Pelodiscus sinensis: one gene and its partner. The protein of the gene in region 1 interacts with the protein of each later gene in a pairwise test. Links are inferred from orthologs where the notes say so. Each region holds a gene or a part of one and is shown on either strand. Other genes may lie near its edges. The genes, in order: COPB1 and COPB2.

Region 1 (9,512 bases):
TTCATACTTTCTAAAAAGATATTAAGGTTATTTAATTTCTAGAAGATAATTAACCCTTACATATCACACTACACTACTGTTAAACCCAGCTCTTACAGGATAAGTCAAGTCCTGCAGGCCTTGCATTACTGGCATTACTATTAAAATATAGAAAAAGGGATAGGATAGGAAAAGATATAGCTGGGCAGGCTACAAAATTTAAAATGGCTATACCTTGGTTACTTCCTTTACTTCCTGAAACAAGAAGCTGTCCCTATTGTCTTCTATGCACTTATTAGGCATTTCGTGTTTGGTCATACTGTTTTTCCACCAGGTCTTGTGTTTTTGGACATTTTTGTTATTCTAGAAATGCCTTATACACCTCCTGCTATGCTCTTGCCCCTTTATCCTTTGGTCTTTTACCTGGTCTGCCTTTCATTTCCTTCTGGACCTTGGAACAAGCATACCATTACTTCCCTATTTATCATGTCTGTCCTTTTGAAACAAACTATGACAATCCATACCAATTTTTCAATGGCAAGACTTATTCCAAGTCTCCCTGCTGCCAATTAAATACTTGACCTTATGTACTAACATTCCCGTTCTTTCTGTGTATTCCTTGTGCTCTTTGCATTTGTGTATCAACATGCCAGATGTTGAGTGGATTCCCCCACCATTTTCTCTCTTGTTGCATTTCCCTTTTGCCCCTCCCCCCCAACTCGTCTTCTGTTAAGGTCACCTGCTGGTTTTTTTTTTTAACCTACCATCAGGCTTTTGTCACCTGCTCACTTTTGAACACTGCTGAAAGCCCTCCTTGATAGGTTCATGACTCTGTGTACAAAGATGCTCTTCCTCTTTTGGGGCAAGTTAACCCCATTTCTTCTCAGCAGTTTTCCTTCCCAGAATAGAATCCTATGCTTGAGGAAGCCAAAGCCCTACCATCAACACCATCTGTGTGGCCACATTTTCATCTCCAGGATGCCAGTAGGAGCCTCGCAGGCACACATAAGAGGGAAAGTGGCTCATAAGGGAAATCATGCGCTACTAATCTACTAGATAAACTTAAACAACAAATAGTCTGGTAGCACTTTAAAGACTAACAAAACATGTAGATGGTATCATGAGCTTTTGTGCGCACAGCCCACTTCTTCAGATGACCAGCATATACTAGAGTTCTTTGAGGGGGTCAACAAACATGTGGACAAGGGGGATCCAGTGGATATAGTGTACTTAGATTTCCAGAAAGCCTTTGACAAGGTCCCTCACCAAAGGCTCTTAAGTAAAGTGAGTTGTCATGGGATAAGAGGGAAGATCCTGTCATGGACTGATAACTGTTTAAAAGAGAGGAATCAAAGGGTAGGAATAAATGGTAAGTTTTCAGAGTGAAGAGAAGTAGCTAGTGGGGTTCCCTAAGGGTCTATCCTGGGACCAATCCTATTCAACTTATTTATAAATGATCTAGAGAAAGGGAAACAAAATACAGGACTATGTAGCACTTTAAAGACTAACAAGATGGTTTATTAAATGATGAGCTTTCGTGGGCCAGACCCACTTCCTCAGATCAAATAGTGGAAGAAAATAGTCACAACCATATATACCAAAGGATATAAAATGAACACATTTTTTTAATTGTATCCTTTGGTATATATGGTTGTGACTATTTTCTTCCACTATTTGATTTGAGGAAGTGGGTCTGGCCCACGAAAGCTCATCATCTAATAAACCATCTTGTTAGTCTTTAAAGTGCTACATCGTCCTGTATTTTGTTTTAGCTACACCAGACTAACACGGCTACATTTCTATCACTAGAGAAAGGGGTAAATGGTGACATGGCAAAATTTGCACATGATATCAAAAGTCTCAAGATAGTTAAGACCAAAGCAGACTGTGAAGAGCTTCAAAAAGATCTCACCAAAGTAAATGACTGGGCAACAAAATGGCAAATTAAATTTCATGTTGATAAATGTGAAGTAATGCACATTGGAAAAAATAATCCCAACTATACATACAATATGATGGGGACTCATTTAGTTACAGCTACTCAAGAGAGATAGCTTGGAGTCATTGTGGCATGAGAGGGCAGTGCCCAGCAGCTGGAGGGAGCTGGGATGAGCCGAGGCTTCCCCGGACCAATGGATGGAGGCAGGGTGGTGGTGGGAGAAGGGGGGGACAGGGATTGCTGGGACTAAGAACTGGGGAGGAGAGAGAGAGGAGAAAGCCTGAGATTGGTTGCGAGAGGGCAGTGTGGACTGGAGTGGCTGTCAGGCCAGCTGAGTCTAGGGCAAGGAATCAGATGGGCCCAGGCTGGGAGCCAGGATGGTGTGTGTTAGGGTAGTTTTGACAGGAAGGAGGGAAGGAGATAAATGGAACAAGCTGGGCAGGACTCCTGGGAGTGGTCCGAGTATGTTGGGCAGGCTGGAATCAGAGAGGCGGGTGGGGGGATCCTGCTGGGTGTGCTGGGCACTGACTGTGTAATCGCCTCATGGGGAAGTGTCAGTGGAGCCTGAATCTCCTATTCCTTTGCCTCACAGGGACTTATTGAGGAGCTGTCAGGCGCTATCCTTACCAACTCCCTCACTACTGTGAGCAGGCTCAGGTACTAAGCCCTTCGCAACTGGCTCCCTAACCACGGTGCTGCCCCTCCCACTCTGAGGCTCCCTCCCAAGCATGGTTTCTCCAGCAGAAGGGGCAGGAAGGTTCCTTGTTTTCTGCCTGAACTCTTCTTTTTGCTCCAATAATGCTATGGGGTTCTTGAGGAGAGGATCCCTCCCAGGTCAGATACAGGAGAACAGCAGAGTCAGGCCATTGTCTGTCTGGGAAGCCTTCACATCCCCTGTGTCAGTGCCTCAGTTTCCATTTTTGCCTGCCTGGGCCTGTTCCCTGTGGTTTCACATCCAGGTTGGTGCCAGTCCCACTCCTGCACTGCAGTCTAGTATCAACACCTCTCTCTTGCCAGCATCATAAATCCTGCCCTGGAGCCAGAGCTGGAGATGTACTTCCTGAGAGCTGCCCTGCATGCCGTCTTCACCTCAGGCAGGACACCTCCTAAGGGGAGAGAGATCTTCAGCTCCTCCCTGCCAGGATCAGAAGTGACCTTTGGTCCCTGCTCCCTTGATTGGCTGGAGCTCCAGAGCTAGGGGTTGGTGTGCAGAGATGGAAGAAGATGCAGTGTTGGATCCTTCCCTCGAGGGGCATCATGTTACCCTCCCAGGAGGACTTCTTCCTTCCTTCCTTACATAGCAGGCTATGTTTTGCCTAGGTGCCATCCATAGCAGCTTGGGTCTTCCCTACTTTGTTACCTACGAGGCCCTCCACAGATTCCTCCTAAGGTCATGGATTGAGGAGCCAGCTGGCACCCTGCCCTGAACCCTTGTTAATTGCCTGCATTGGGATCTGAATGAGCCAGGCCAGTACTTTATAGAGACCCACATCCTGTGGCAGGTGTAACCCAAGTTTCCCGAACTCTGACCCATAGCTCTCCTTTGCTTTGCAGAGTCTGAACCTGAATGCCAGGCTGGGGAACCTGCTGGCGAAGTCCTCGGCACAGACAGACCCTGTGGTAAGGCAGAGAGCAATTTTACCTTAACTCTGAGGAAGACTGGCAAGGAAAGACTGGAGGATCTATTTCCCACTTTGTCCTCCTAGTTCAGCCCCCAGTGGACTGTCCTATGTCAGGCAATTGGTGCAATGCACGTGTTTCACGCTCCTCGTTCCTTAGCCTCATCTCTGGGACTTCCCCTCTCTGGCTGCTCTGACCCAAGACTGTCTTTTGAGCTGGGGGTGGGAGTGGAGCACAGATGTACTGAAATCATTGGAAACAGTGAGCGGGGCTGGACAAAGGGAGGGACATTCCTAGGCCAGCTTGGACAACTAGGTCCCAGCTAGGGTTGCCAGGTGTCTGGTACTGAACCGAACAGTTCAGTATTTTCGCCTCCTGTCCGGTAAAAAAATCCAGAAAATACCGGACACCTGAAATGTCCTGTACTTTCTGATTTTTTTCCCGGCTAGGAGGCGAAAATCCCAGGCTATCCAGCTTAATACAGAGAGGTGCTTACCGGATTCTGCAGGTGAACTGTTCAGCCTGACACAGGGAGGCAAGATGGTGAGCGGCCACCATCAGCCTGTTAAGGCCAAAAAGCCTCACCATGCATTTCTTAAAGGGGCCACACTCTGTTTTTTTGTTTTTTGCTTAACAACTCTCAGGGGCCTTTTTTTGGTTCAGTATTTTTTCCAAAACCAGCTGGCAACTGTAGTGCCAGCCTGGCTCAGGCACAGGGCTCGCTCCTCTGCTACAGCCTCACAGCTCTGGGCATGGAGCAGGAGCGATGCAGTGAGAGGGGAGCGATGCAGTGAGTGATGCAACTCCTGGGGCAGGGAGGGGAACAGCCATAGGGAAGGGAAGTCACTGCCCAGATGAAGTGGCTGGGGCTACAGTCAAGCCCAGCAGTGCTGCAATGGGGCAGCTGTGGTGACACAATTGGTGACCGATCAATTTTTCTATCAGTAGTAGGTACCACCAGACATCCTCTTTTTGCTTACTTAGCAAATTCTGTCAGCCAAGATCCCCATCTATCAGCCTCTGCTATTTGCCATGGGTTCAAGACTGCCCTTCACATCCTCTGGTCCAAGACTCCCCTTCTGATTTTTCTTCCCCAGGCAGGCCAGTTCGTCCATTGTCACTATATCTTGCTTGATCCCAGGGCCTGCCCACAACATTTTGGGACCTGAAGCAGGACTCTCAAATGATGCCCCGATGCCCCCTCGCTTGGGCCAAAACTTTGAAAGGTCTCAATTCTGCCTTCTTCCTGCTCTACTCTGCCCATGGTACTGCAGACAGAATACACATGCATCAGCAGCAAACACAATTTTCTACATTCTAGGTCCTAGTGGTGCCCCCTCACAGTCTGGCACTTGAGGCAGCCACCTCAGTTCGCCTCATGGTAAGGCCAGCACTGCATGATCCCCCCCAGACAAGTACATTTCTGCCCCCTACTCAGACCCTGCTCACCCACCGGCTGCGACGTGGCCCCTTTGCAAACTCTCTAAAGAGCAAGCAAGGGCACGTGCCAGGGAACCTGCTCAGTTCGGATGCGCATGCTCAGTACCCTCCTAAGCAGGGCCTTCGGGGCGGGCGCTCGGAGTCGCAGCGTTGGTGTGAGTTGGAGCCACGCCCCCCGCGCTCTGATGAGGACACCCGGGGGCAGTGACGTGGCTGCTCAGCTAGTGCCTGCCTGGAGACCGCGGCTGGAGGTCGCGGTCACGTGGTGTGAGAGCCGCGCATGCGCGGGGCTGTATTCCCCCCTCCCTCCCCCCACACACACGCACCGGAACCAGGCGACTTTGTGCCTTGCTGCGCGCGGAGGAGGCGTGTCCTGCTGCGGCCGCCGTAGTACCGATGTGGCCTGTCGCGGGGAGTGGTTCCACGTCAGCCACCGCCGAACGGGCAGAGACGGGGCTCCGGGGGTCCCGCCGCGGGCAGCACTGGAGGCAGGTACAGCGCTTCCAGGGGCTCGGGGCGTGCTGCGGGCCGTGGTCGGAGAGCGGCCCCCGCCCCCTTCCGGAGCCGGCGGCCTCGCTCCGCTCTGCCGGGGAGTCGGGCCAACGCCTGGCCGCGGGTGCGAGGGCGGGTAACCGGCGCGGCCCCCGCGCAAGGGGGTAGCGCGCCACGGAGCCGGGCCCTGCGAGGTCTGCTCGCGCCCCGGCTTGCTGAGGCAGCGAGGTTTAACCGTCCTGAGATTCGTTTTGCCCCTGTGGGCCCGCAGCAGTTACCCGGGCTGCCCGCAGGATCCCACGCCGCCTGCCCCAGCGCCTCGCACGGGCCGGGGCCGAGGCTGCAGCTTTGCTACGAGTTCACCTCTGCTGGGAAGCGTCGTTCTCTTGGGGCTGAAACTCTCCGTGTCAAGTAAAATTGTGGAGAGTTTCAGCAAAGACCCACTCAGCTGGTGTGTGTGTAACTTCTGGGTTTTAAACGTGCTGCTTGTTGTGATCACGTAGCAGTATCGTTAAATCCATGGCGTTACGGTGCACACAAGGACAATGACAAGTTGTAGCTGTAGGTAGCTATAATAGAGGTTATGAAGTAAATCTTTGTTTACTATTCTTTTTAATAGTACTTTGTGTGCTATTTAAGTTCCTCATCTTGCAAACATTTGAATAACTTTGTGCAGGAGTATTCGCTTTGAAGTTAATGGCCCGTGCTTAAAATTAAGTCAATATGAATTTTCAGGTTTGGGGCCATGGTATTTTTTTTTATATATAGCCATTCTGTGGTATGTTGACATAGAGAATATTATAGTTAGGAGTGTTAGTGTGTAATTGAAGTCATGTGATTGCATCAAAATTTAGCAGTTACATGACTATTACATAGTCCCTGGGGACAGAGCTGGCAGTCAGTGCACTCTGGCCCTACTCATGGGGAGCCCCCTGCCATCCTGTGTTGCTGCCTCTCAGAAGTAGCAGTATGGGGTGGCAGATGGGAGTTGGTCTGCAAGGGGAGCTGGCTTAAAAACAGAGGCAGGAGCGTGGGACGGTATACCCTGTATGCTGCTCCACATCCCACAGAGCAATCTCTGTCCACAGCAAGCCTGGATGTGCCAGGACAGGACAGGACAGGGAGGGTGGGTGGGGGGCAAGCGACTCCACAGAGCCAGTGCTTCTGTCCTCGTCCCCATGCCCCGTTGCCTCTGTAGGAGGCAGAAAGGAGGGGCAGGCAAATCCATATGCGTATTTGGATCCTGCTTGCCCCCTTCACCCTCGGTGCTGCTGCTGGAATTAGCAGTGCAGGGGCAGGGATCCGTGGAGTCGGTGCCCACCTGCCCCCCCTTGCTGCCTCTGATACAAAGGCAGCAAGGGGGAGAGAATGCCTGTAGTCAACAGGATTAACCAATAAGCCTTGGTTTATCAGTTAATCGTGTAGTCATTTACATGTTGACATCCCTAAGTATAGTTACTATCTGAAGTGTTTCATTTTTTCATAAAAAATAGGAAAATGTGAACTAAAACATGCGCTTTAAAATTTTGAACTAATATTGTCGCTAGTTTTCATCAGGGAATAGTTACTTAGAAAAATGACAGTTTTTGAACTGATGATGTAAGCTGGAGATATAAAATCCTGTTTAACTGGTTAATTATATTGTTTAACCAGTTAACCGATTTAAAGAGGGGTGAGTGGGGGGGCCCCTGTCTGCCTCTGGGTGGAATGTCCCCTTCCCTTCCCTTCCTCCTCCTCCCCAGGCAGAGGCTGCTTCAGTCCAGTCAGAGCAGCCCCTGGCTGTAGCCTTCCCACTGCAGGCAGGGGCTGCATGGGCTGGGATGCCAGAACATCCCCTGCTTGTGGAGGTCCAGGGTACATGTCAGGCAGGGGCTGTTCTGGCATCCTGATTGGAGCAGCCCTTGCCTGTGGGGTGCACACCAAAGGCAGGGGCTGTGCTAGAGTAGTCCCCTGGCTGCAGTAGGCAGGGAGCTGCTCCACCACTGGTAAGCCTCAAATCCCTATTATAAGCAATTATAAATTTACCTTGCAATCTTGATATGTTTTAGCCTGTGTCTTCAGAGAGTGCTAAAATATGTGCAGTTGCTGAAAAACAGTTATGCAGCTCTGTAATTCTAGGGAATGGTTTAGGGCATTGGGGCTCAAGCAGAGTGCAAATACCCTGGGGGGATATGCAGGAGAGGAAAAGTCAACTCATACGAATATTTGCCTACTTTTTCAACATGATACATAAAAAGCACTAGCAATATCAGTACAAACTAAATTTTCATACGAACAATGACTTATTTATACTGCACTATATGTGATGCACCAAAACGTATTCCAATTGATTTATAATTGGATGGTAAAAATAAAAGAGCAGTTTTTTTACTAACTGTTGTGATGCTTTTGTATTTTTGTCTGATTTTTATAAGCATTTTTATGCAGTTATGAAATGTTTTATATTAGCACCCTGTTTTATATACACTAATCAACAATACTTGATTATGCTGTCTATGAAGTCTCACATGGGTCTCAAGATAGGGTAGGGGGAGCAGAACATTTGTATTAGATGCCATGTAAAAATTCTCAGCACTTGCTGCATATTTTGTTGCACTTATCATCATCATAAGCTCAAAGTTTCACATTTCTCAAAATGAGTAAGTTCCAGCAGGTGAGCTCATTGGGACACAAGATCACATGGGTAGTTGACATTGATGTAGTCCATTATCATAATTCTGATGGAGCTTTTAACTTTAGCAGACTTTCAGACTTATCACAGTACCCTTAACCATCTTGATGCTGCCTTTTCTTTGCTTTGGAGTGTTTGGAAAAGATATCCACATTGTCCTGTCTCAGAGCCTGAATCCTGATTAGCCTTCAGATCTCTTAGTTTTGAAAGAGAGCTGGACAAATTTTTGAGTGCAATTGTATGAGGGGGTTGCCTGTGATGGTAGTGGGCAGAGCTCAGTAGCCCTGGAGCTCAATTTCAATTTATTTCCTTTGTGCATAAAGCTTATCCTAAAGAGCTTCTGTTTTGTCACCAGGCTCAGGAAGCAGTTCCGGTCTCCCCAATGTATTGGGGAAGATTTTTTTAAAAAAATCTCCTAAAGCATCAGACAATGGCCATGGCTGGAGATGAGACTTGTCGGGGTGGGCTTGGGCCAGGTCTCTGCACGACATTCAGCTTTCTCTCAGATGCTTGACTAGCTGATTATTGCTCATTTACTCAGGATCTAACTGACCACTAGGTGTGAGAGCAGGAAGGAATTCTGTCTTTAAGTCAGATTGACAGTGACATGGCAGGTTGTGCTTTCCTTTGCAGCATATGGGTGCAAAACACCTACTTGGACTAGCTGGGTATATCTCACTTATATATTTCCTGCCATTAGAACATAGGATGGCTGTACTGCGTCAGACCAATGGTCCACCTAACCCACTATTCTGTCCTCTGATAGTGACCAGTGCCATGTTTTAGAAGGAATGAGCAGAACAGGTAATCATCAAATGATCCTTCCCTTGTCAGCTATTCCCAGCTTCTGGCAAAGAGAGGCTGGGGAAGGTGTTCCTGACCATTATGGCTATCATCCATGAATTTATCTAGTTCTTTTTTGAACCCTGTGATAGTCTTGGCCTTCACAACATGCTCTGGCAGTGAGCTCCATGGGTTGACTGCATTCTGTGCAGACATACTTCCTTTTGTTTGTTTTTAAATCTGCTTCCTATTAATTTCATGTGGTGATTTTTAGTTACTGTGTTACGAGTCATGATTTTATATAGACCTCTATCATATCTCTCCCTAGTTGTCTCATTTCCATGTTGAAAAGTCCCATTTTTACTGAATTCTCCTCATATGGAAGCCATTCTATACCCCTAATCACATTTGCTGCCCTTTTCTGAACTTTTTCCTGAATACTGCATGCAGGTATGGTCAAAAAGACACTGGAATTGGAAGTGGACATATCATGAATTTATATAGAGGCAATATACTATTTTTGTCTTACTTTCTATCCCTTTCTTAATGATTTCCAACATTCTGTTGGCTTTTTTGACTGCCGCTGCA
Region 2 (9,894 bases), on another chromosome or scaffold:
CCCGATGTCAATTGTTGATGAAGATATCGACAAAAGAGACCCCTGCAGAACCCCACTTGTTATGCCTTTCCAGCATGATTACTAATAACTACTCTCTGAGAAAGGTTATCCAGTCAATTATGCAACCACCTTATAGTAGCCCCATCTAGGTTGTATTTCCCTAGTTTATTGAAAAGAAGGTCATGCAAGACTTTGCCAAATGCCTTACTAAAGGCTAGATATGCTACAACCACCGCTTCTCCCTTAGCCACAAGGCTTGATATTCTATCAAATAAAGCTATCAGATTGGTTTGACATGCTTTGCTCTTTACAAATCCATGCTGGCTGTTATCACCTTATCTTCCAGATGTTTGCAGATGAATTCCTTAATTACCGTCTCCATTATCTTCCCTGGCACAGAAGTTAAACTGACTGGTCTGTAGTTTCCTGGGTAGTTCTTATTTCCCTATTTATAGATGGGCACTATCCCAAGCACTGCTAAAGGCAGTTCTACAGACAAGGACCTGGGGATTACAGTTGATGAGAAGCTGAATATGAGTCAACAGTGTGTCCCTGTAGCCAAGAAGGCTAATGGCATATTAGGCTGCATTAGTAGGAGCATTGCCAGCAGATCTAGAGAAGTGATTATTCCCCTTTAAGTACTAATCATGGCACATCTGGAGTATTGTGTCCAATTCTGGGCTCCCCATTACAGAAAGGATGTGGACACATTGGAGAGAATCCAGTGGAGGACAACCAAAATGATTAGGAGGCTGAGGCATATGACTTATGAGGAGAGGCTGAGGGATCTGGGCTTATTTAGTCTACAAAAGAAAAGAGTGAGGGGGGATTTGATAGCAGCCTTCAACTACCTGAAGGGTAGTTCCAAAGACAATGGAGAGAGGCTATTCTCAGAAGTGACGGATGACAGAACAAGGAGCAATGGTCTCAAGTTGCAGTGTGGAAGGTCTAGGTTGGATATTAGGAAAAACTATTTCATTAGGTGGGTGGAGCAGCACTGGAATGGGATACTTAGGAAGGTGCTGGAATCTCCATCCCTAGAGGTTTTTAAGTCCCAGCTTAACAAAGCTCTGGCTGGGAGGATTTAGTTGGGATTCATTCTGCTTTTAAAAGGGGGTTGGACTCAACCTCCTAAGATCTCTTCTAACCCTATGATTCTAAGGCCTTTAAAAAAAACCTGATAAAATACAGAAGTCAATGTTCATACAGTCATGGAACCACAGATTATACTGGAAGAAACCTCGAGAGGTCAAGTCTAGGCCATGCCTGACAAACGTTTGTCTATTGTGCTCTTAAGAATCTTCAGTTACAGGTTTTCCACAATCTGGCAATTTATGCCTATGCTTAACCACCCTGAGAGTTCAGAAGTTTTTCCTAATGTCCCTTACTGCAATTTAAGATTTCTTTTAAAGGAGCACCACAAAGTACACCTCCCATTATACCCTGATTCTGCGTGTCCATCTATGAATCAATTTGTTCAAGAATTCCTCCTAAATAGTAAAAGCTAGAATCACCACAATTTGTTTGCAGCTTCCTTTCATCAAAACTTAAAGCAAGGACAGGGTTTTATTGTGCCAAGACAATGGGATGTGCATGGAATGCGACTGTTTGTGAAACACAAAGTGAGGAGGTGTGATAGCGAGAGTTATACTTACTAGTGACCAGAAGGGGATAAGTAAGCACCCCAGCTCCGGGGAGCAGCTGTTGGCTGGCAGCACAGCTCAATTATCCCTGGGGAGCAGCCACCAGATGCCTCTACCCCCTCCCCTGGGCCTGCTCACATCTCCCAACTCCCTGCTCTGATTCCTGCACCCCTTACACCTCAACTCCCCTACTCTGAAGGACCTGAGGAATGACAGGTAAGTCTTCTAGTAGAACTATAAAATAAATAATAATTCCTCAGTTGAAACATGCTAATTTAGTATGTAGAAGAGTACAAACAAGTCATCATCTGTATGAAATTTTAAGTTGTACTAGGGCTGTCAATTAATTGCAGTTTTGACCACTCAGTTAAGAACAGCATCCAAAATGAAATTAAGTATTTTTGGAGGTCTTCAATGACATTGACTTCAGTTACAACACAAAATGCAGAGTACAGTGCTCATCTTATAATTCAATTAATATATTTGCACTAATAGTATTTTTCAATTCACTACATAAAAATCACTTTAGTAGTCTCTATATTGTGAAAGCACAACTTATAATTTTTTTTGTTACAAAACTGCACTCAAAAATAAACAGTGTAAAACTTTAGCACCTACAAATACATTCAGTTCCATTGCTTATTCAGCCAACTCTTAAGACATACACATTTGTTTATATTTAATGGAGATAATGCTACCCACTTCTTAATTACTAGCCAATTAGCCTGTCATCAGATGGGATTTTCAGGTCTCTCCTCCGCTTTGGTCTTCTCCCCTGAGCCTCCGGTCTCTGTCTCTCTTGGTCTCTCTCCCCTCCTCCTACTGCCTCCCCCTCTCTCTCTCAGCTCTCCTCCGCCTCCTGCCTCTGTCTCTTTCTTTCTCTTCTCCCCTCCTGCCTCTCACTCTCCCTTTTCTCTTCTCCTGCCTCTCTCCCCGCTCCCCTTCCCTTCCCGCCGTGGTGTTTGGCTGAGTGCTGCCCACTCAGCTGGGACACCATGGGGGGGGGGGGGGCGGGGAGGAGGTCAGGCAGTGACGTACACGGCCAGGGGGCGGGGCCGTGTACATCACCGCCCCGCCCCCCCTTTCCCCTCCCACCGTGGCACTCAACTGAGTGCTGCATGCTCAGCCAGGCTGCTGTGGGGGAGCCAGCGGTGCAAGCGGCCATTTGGGCTTTCCCACGGTGGCTCGACTGAGCACGCAGCACTCAGCCGAGCGCCACAGCTGGAGAGGAAGGGGGTCGGTTCGGTGACGTACACGGCTCCGCCCCCTGGCCGTGTATGTCACCACCCACCTCTTTCCCCTCCCACCGTGGCACTCGGCTGAGTGCTACGCCACGGAGCTGGGCAGCGGCAGGGGAGCAAGCGATGCTGCATGGGGAGCACGGACCCCAAACGGCCGCTTGCCGCTGCTTGATCCCCCGCCGCGGGCCAGCTGAGTGGCACAGCACTCAGTCGAACACCACAGCAGGAGAGGAATGGGGGCAGGGAGGTGATGTACATGGCTGGGGCGGGGCCATGTACGTCATCGTTACAGACACTGGGCTACTATATATATCTGACAAGGGAAGAACAGGTATCAAAAGTAGAAAGTAAACATGTGGTCTCACTTTCAGGTGACATGTTAACAGGTAAAATTATCCCTGGAAGTGTAAATGAACAAGTTTGAGTGATTTGCTGAACATGAAGGAGGACAGGCCAGATTCAGCCCACCCAGCCATTAATCCAGCCCATAGCTCACCCTGCCCCACCACTCCACACATGCTAATCAGACCTGGAGGGCGGGAAAGCACGTGACATTTCCTCCCCCACCAGGGCGTGCAGCGCCAGAGGAAACACCAGCTGTTCAAAACAGCTGATGGTTTCTTTTAGGTGCTGTGCACCCCAGCTGGTTGGGGACAGTAGACATTGTTCAATCCCACAACCCATTAAGGAGCATACACAGCCTTCCTCCCCTCACCCGCAGGCAGTGCCTAAAGTACCTCTTCCACCCAAGGCCCATTTCTTCCATCTAAGGCCCCGCCCCCTGGACCTGGCCTGCAGCCACTACCAACAATGGTGAAGTGGTACTCCTACAAAAATTACTGCCCACCACTGGAGTAGCTCTACATTAGTTTATTTTTGAATGCAGTTTTTTTGTACATTATTCTAATTTCATGATAAATTCAACTTTCATGATCAAGAGATTGCACTACAACACTTAATGGGAACTGAATAAATATTTTTTTAACAGAGCAAAATCATGTAATAAAAATAAAGTGAGCACTTTTCTATTCTATTTTGTAACAGAAGTCATATTTGCAAACGTGCAGAAAGTAGCAAACATGCCAACTAAACAAATGGCCTTACCCGTCACTAACACCCAACGTTTAATCGCTTGACAGCGCTAATTGTACTGGCTCCCTTCGGCCTTTCACGCAACCTGCTGCAAAACCAGCCCAATAGCGAGATGGGCTGGGCTGATGCACCTCCTGGGACATCGCTGAGCAACCCCGGGGCGCGCGTTCTGAACCCTGAAGCCCGGCCCGCGGCCTCGGGGACAGCGCCGGCCTGCAGGAGCGGGAGCGCCCCGGCCCCCGACAGCCCCCCGGCGAGGGATCAGCTCTAGACACCCCGCGGGCAGCTCCCCTCGCCCCCCGCCGCGGACTCACCATGGCTCCTCCGCCCCCAACCCGGCAGCAGCTGAGACGTCGCTCTCCGACTCCAACTCAGTTGAACTACGTGGAGCTTCCGGCCCTACAGGTCTCGCGAGATAAGGGATAAAAGCGAGAACGCCGTACACAAGCGCTTCCGCATCTGAAACATCGCGAGGACGAGACTTCCTGTCCCCACGGTTCAGGACCAACGGAGACCAAAGTAGGCCACGGCACCAGCTTCCCTCAGAGGTGCTGTCATCAAGCCTTAGGAGCGGGGCCTGCCTGATTGAATTGCAGTCCATATGTGCCGTAATGCATCCTGGGACACGTAGTCATTGCACAGCGAAGTGAGACCAGCGGCCGTGGGCAGGTGCGCCGCGGCGCATGCTGGGAATTGTAGTTTCTATGCGGGGGTCTCCAAAGCGTCCCTTCTTCATCCCAGTTACAGAAGCGGGGGCATCGAGCCGCCGGCAGGGGACTGTTCACTTCGTGGCCGTGACCCCCGCCCAAGCGCAGAGCCTCGCACTGATGCTCCCCGCAGTTCTCTGGACATTAGCCTAGGGCAAGATGAGGGGCAAAGGGCCATTGGGTCAGACCAAAGGTCCATCTAGCCAAGCATCCGGTCTGCCAGCAGTGGCCAATAATGCCAGGTGCTCCAGAATATAATAGAGAGGCAGCCCTGTTAATCTGATCTTGCAAAAACAAAAGGAAAAACTATGCAGCACTTTAAAGACTAACAAGATGGTTTAATAGGTGATGAGCTTTTGTGGGCCAGATCCACTTCCTCAGATCATATTCTGGAAGAGAATTGGCATGACCATATATACCAAAGGAATACAATGAAAAAGCAAACACATTATTAAACTGACATCAGATTTAGTACAGAAGGTGGGGTGAGGAAGAGGGACGGAGGGAATAGCTATTATGAATCAATGTTAACTCTGGAGACACAGATCCACAGTTTAAGAACTGCAAAACTAAGCATCTCTGATGGTATCTTCTGGACTGAGCACTGAGTCTTATTGGGTACACTGAAAGATTAACCTAAATAATCTATACAGAACCTTCTGGAATCCCATAAGATTGGGTCCATAATCCATGAACTATTGGAATTCATTTACAAAACTTTTCTTAAACACTAGGGCTGTGTCTACACTGGCGCGATCTTGTGCAAAAGCGGCCGCTCTTGCGCAAAAACTTTCTGCCTGTTTACATTGGCCGTGTATTCTTGCGCAAGTAAACTGACGGTCTAATGTATGAAATCAGGGCTTCTTGCCCCAGAACTCTGATGTTCCCACTCAGGAATAAGCCCTTTTGCGCAACTGTTCTTGCGCAAGAGGCCAGTGTAGATAGGCAACATGAATTTCTTGCGCAAGAAAGCCCTATGGTTAAAATGGCCATCAGAACTTTCTTGCATCTCTTGCGCAAAAGCACATACCAGTGTAGATGCTCTCTTCTGGAAGAGTTTTTGCAGAAGAACTCTTCCGCAAAAGAGTTTTTGTGCAAGATCATGCCAGTGTAGACGTAGCCTACATTAATATATTGTTTCATTGTATAAAATTAGAATTTATAATCCCTATTCCATGTTGATATATCTTTGAGCTATAATGTAAATGAAACTATCTTTAGATACATTTTTCCTCAAAAAAAATTGTCAAAAAATCTGATTAAATAAAAATATCTGATTTCTTCTTTTTTTTAATTTGTTGATTTTTATCTACCCTGCTTCTTAGTCACTTGTCACTTTGGTTGTCTTGGTAACTTTCCACTGCTCCAAACCCCCAGCCTCCTGGTTTCCCAACTCTCATACCCTTCTTACTCTAACCATTTTGATCAGTTGTCAAGCTGTAACAATGACTCATCATTGTTCTTGGTATTGCAGAGATTTGACAACCCCATCAGCTCATAGAGGGTACACAGAAGGATATTGCCAATACAGCAGTTTTCATAGTAGTATAATGTCAAATAGAATTAATAAGTTATGCATATGTTTCTCGAATACATCAGAAACTAGAAGGACAATAAAAACCCAGGCCAATTCACAATTCAGGAGAGCTGATATATAGTATTGTAAACCTTGAAATGCTTATAAGTCATGAGAGCAGGAGAAACTGAAGAAAGAGAGCTAACCAAAAACATCAGTGTTGGAGAAAGAAGTGGAAGAGTGTTCTAAGGAGCATATGAGCATACACGAGATTTGTTTTTATCTTTGGGGAACTTAAGATCTTGCACAGAGAGGGAAGAAGACTTAAATAGTGAGTCGGAAGCAGCTGGTGGTTGTTGGATTGCCCATCCTCCTACTCTCCCCTAACCTCGGAGTTTCCACCACACTCAACTTATGTAGTCATATTTCCCATAATTGGAGATATGGTAGGAGTCACCACAACTGGAGTGCAATAGCCTCACAAAGGGAAAACTACCTTATAGCCATAATATCTCCCCTGCCAGATGAGTGAGTGTAGGATTCCATGGAATACAATATGATGGGGACTAATCTGGCTACAACTACTCAAGAGAGAGATCTTGGAATCATTAATAGTCAAAACTGCAAATAGAATGTTAGGAATCATAAAACCAGGGATAGAGAATGAGACAGAGAACATCTTATTGCCTCCATATAAAATCATGGTACTCATATCTTGAATACTGCATACAGATGTGGTCGCCTCAGCTCAAAAAATATATTGGAAAAGGTTCAGAAAAGGGCAACACAAATGATTAGAGGCTTGGAACATGTCCCATTTGAAAAGAGATTAAAAAGACTTGGACTTTTCAGCTTAGAAAAAAGGAGACTAAGGGTACATCTACACTGTAACACTATTTCGAAATAACCAGCTCTGTTACTAAATAACTTAGTCCGCATCTACACAGCAGGCAGTTATTTCGAAATAATGTCAAAATACTGTTAAGCTGGAGGACTTCTTACTCTGATTTCTGCAACCCTCATTGTACGAGGAGTAAGGGAAGTCGGAGAAAGAGTGCACTATTTCCAAATAAATGCTGTGAGGACTTTCCCTATTTCAAAATAAGCTATTTTGAAATAAGATACGCAATTGATGTAACTCAACATGCATAGCTTATTTCAAGTTTAGCCATGCAGTGTTGATACACTCCAAGAGGGGATATGATAGAAGTCTATAAAATCATGACTGCTGTGGAAAAAGTGAATAAGGAAAAGGTACTTATTCCCACAATATAAGAACTAGGGGGTCACCAAATAAAATTAATAGGCAGCAGGTTTAAAACAAACAAAAGGAACTTTTTCTTCACTCAGCACACAGTCAACTTGTGGAATTCCTTGCCAGAGGATGTGGTGAAGGCCAGGACTTTAACAGGGTTCAAAAAAGAGCTTAATAGATTCATGGAGGTTAGGTCCATCAATCGCTATTAGCCAGGATGGGTAGGAATGATGTCCCTAGTCTCTGTTTGCCTGGAAATGGGTAACAGGAGAAGGCTCATGTGCAGATTATCTGTTGTGTTCTCTCCCTCTGGGGTATGTGGCATTGGCCACTACTGGCTGACAGGAAACTGGGCTAGATGGACCTTTAGTCTGACCCAGTATGGCCATTCTTATGTTCTTATATTTTTGTGTTCTTAATACTTCTGGGGGAATGTTGAATAAAAAACTAAACATTCTGCACCCAATATTTTAAAGTTCTGCATATTTTATTTGTTCAAATGATACAATATAATCATGTCAGATTCAATTATTTTGGTAATTATTTCAAAATACCTATGAGCAAGTATGTCTAGCAATATAGAGAACAAAAAAATCCAGGAAATATTCGTCAAATTACTTACTAGGAATATTAATACAGAACTTTGAGTAATAATTAATTTAAATTACAAAATAGACATGTATTTTCTGCACTCCTCAGAAGCCAGTGCAAAGACTTGGGGGAACAGGAGGAACAGAGAAGCTGAGAGAGATGGAAGTAGTGGAAAGGAGTCTGAGTGTGAACTTGGAGGGCAGTTGGATGTAGGAGGGAGAAGTATGGTACTTTGGGGGATAGGAAGAGATTATTAGGGAGTTAGGGAGCCTCCCCCCATGCAGACCCCTACCCTTCCCCATTTATACAGGAACCTGTTGCTGTGTGTCCCTGCATCACCATCCCTCACCATATTTCCCTGCACTCTGACTACAATTCAGCTCCTGGCTTTATGCTGTCACTAACTCCTGTGCCCTTCCTGCAAAAAGTCCAGTGGTTCCTTTCCTGCTCTTATCCTGAGACATTCCTAGAAGTTTCTCTCCCTGTGGCCCCTAGATGGGGGAAATAGGGATTCTCTGACTACGTCTATACTGCAGCTTTCTTCTGCAAAAGCTTATGCAAATGAAGCGCAGATTAGAATATCGCCGTGCTTCATTTGCATAATTAATTAGCAGCCATTTTTGTGCAAGAGGCTTTTGTGCAAAAAGGAGCAGTGTAGATGGCTCCTTTTTGTGCAAAACCCCCCTCTTGCGCAAGAGCCGTTTTTCCTCATTTGTTCAGGAAATGAGAAAAGAAAGTGTCAGTATAGATGTAGGCTGTGTCTACACTGCACCCCTGATTTTAAGAGGAATAAGGGATCTTTCGGAAAAGGCTTTATTTTCTGAAAGATCCCCGTCTAGACTGGCGCTTTTTTCCGGCAAAGCCCCGAGCTGGAAAAAAGCAGCAGCCATGTTTATACAAATGAAGCGGAGGATATTTAAATCCCCGCTTCATTTGCAATAACGATGTGTCTAATCTGCATCCCTTTTCCGGAAAAGGGGTGCAGTGTAGACACAGCCGTAGTGTCTATGTGCTGTCCCTAACTTCAGTGACTCTGCAGCTCCCATTGGCTGGGAACTGTGTCCAATGGGAGCTGCAGAGATAGTGCTTGTACGCAGAGACTGCACATAGATCTACCACCACTACCCAAAGTAGGGTTGACCACTTCCAGGAGTGACATGGGGTTAGGGAAGGCACAGAGCCTGTCCTAGCCTTGCACTGCCACCAACTGGGATTTGGATCTGCTTGAGGTAAACATCACCCAGATTCCACAACTTGACACCCACACACATACTCCCTATCCCCATGCACCAGCCCTGAGGCCCCTCATTCACCCAAACTCACTCCCAGTGCCCATGCGCCTCACCCCCTCCTACAACCTAATCCTTTGCCTCAGACTAAGCCCAGAGCTCCCTCACATACTCCAAACCCTTTGGCTCCAGCCCAGAGCCTGCACTCCCTCCCACACCTCAACCCACTGCCCCCATTCCAGTGAAAGTGAGTGGGGGAGAGCGAGCAAGCGATGGAAGAAGGGGCATGGACTAAGCAGAGGCCAGGGCTTTAGAGAAGGAGCAGGGTATGGTCTTGCCTCAGGGAAAGGGCAGGCAAGGGTGCTTGAGTTTGTGTGATTATGTACCATTGGCAACCCTAGCTGGTAACTCTCTTTTTTGGCATGACAGCAGGTTCTGGTGGACAAAAGGTATAATTGCAGTGCCTTCCTAGAAGAACGGTTTTGGGGGGGAAAGGAGTGGGGAATTCTGCACATGTGAAGTGCAGCAGAACAAAATTCCCCCAGAAATAGTGGAATGGAGAGAGGTAGAACTTTTTAGCAAAGATGATAAAAGAACTGTGAATGTGTAGTAGGGGAAGC

Evidence for each region.
Region 2: the proteins of COPB1 (region 1) and COPB2 interact in a two-hybrid assay, tested with the Homo sapiens proteins (2 studies listed by BioGRID, with this or other methods). The link is inferred for Pelodiscus sinensis from reciprocal best matches to the Homo sapiens genes COPB1 and COPB2.

What each region holds. Positions count from the first base shown.
Region 1 is NC_134714.1:109,060,863-109,070,374, reverse strand, and holds the start of COPB1 (coatomer subunit beta), read left to right. Parts: upstream 1-5,294; 5' UTR 5,295-5,466; exon of another isoform or gene 5,467-5,470; intron 5,471-9,512. UniProt on the Homo sapiens protein: The coatomer is a cytosolic protein complex that binds to dilysine motifs and reversibly associates with Golgi non-clathrin-coated vesicles, which further mediate biosynthetic protein transport from the ER, via the Golgi up to the trans Golgi network.
Region 2 is NC_134720.1:11,279,302-11,289,195, forward strand, and holds the start of COPB2 (coatomer subunit beta'), read right to left. Parts: upstream 4,446-9,894; 5' UTR 4,294-4,445; coding exon 4,291-4,293; intron 1-4,290. UniProt on the Homo sapiens protein: The coatomer is a cytosolic protein complex that binds to dilysine motifs and reversibly associates with Golgi non-clathrin-coated vesicles, which further mediate biosynthetic protein transport from the ER, via the Golgi up to the trans Golgi network.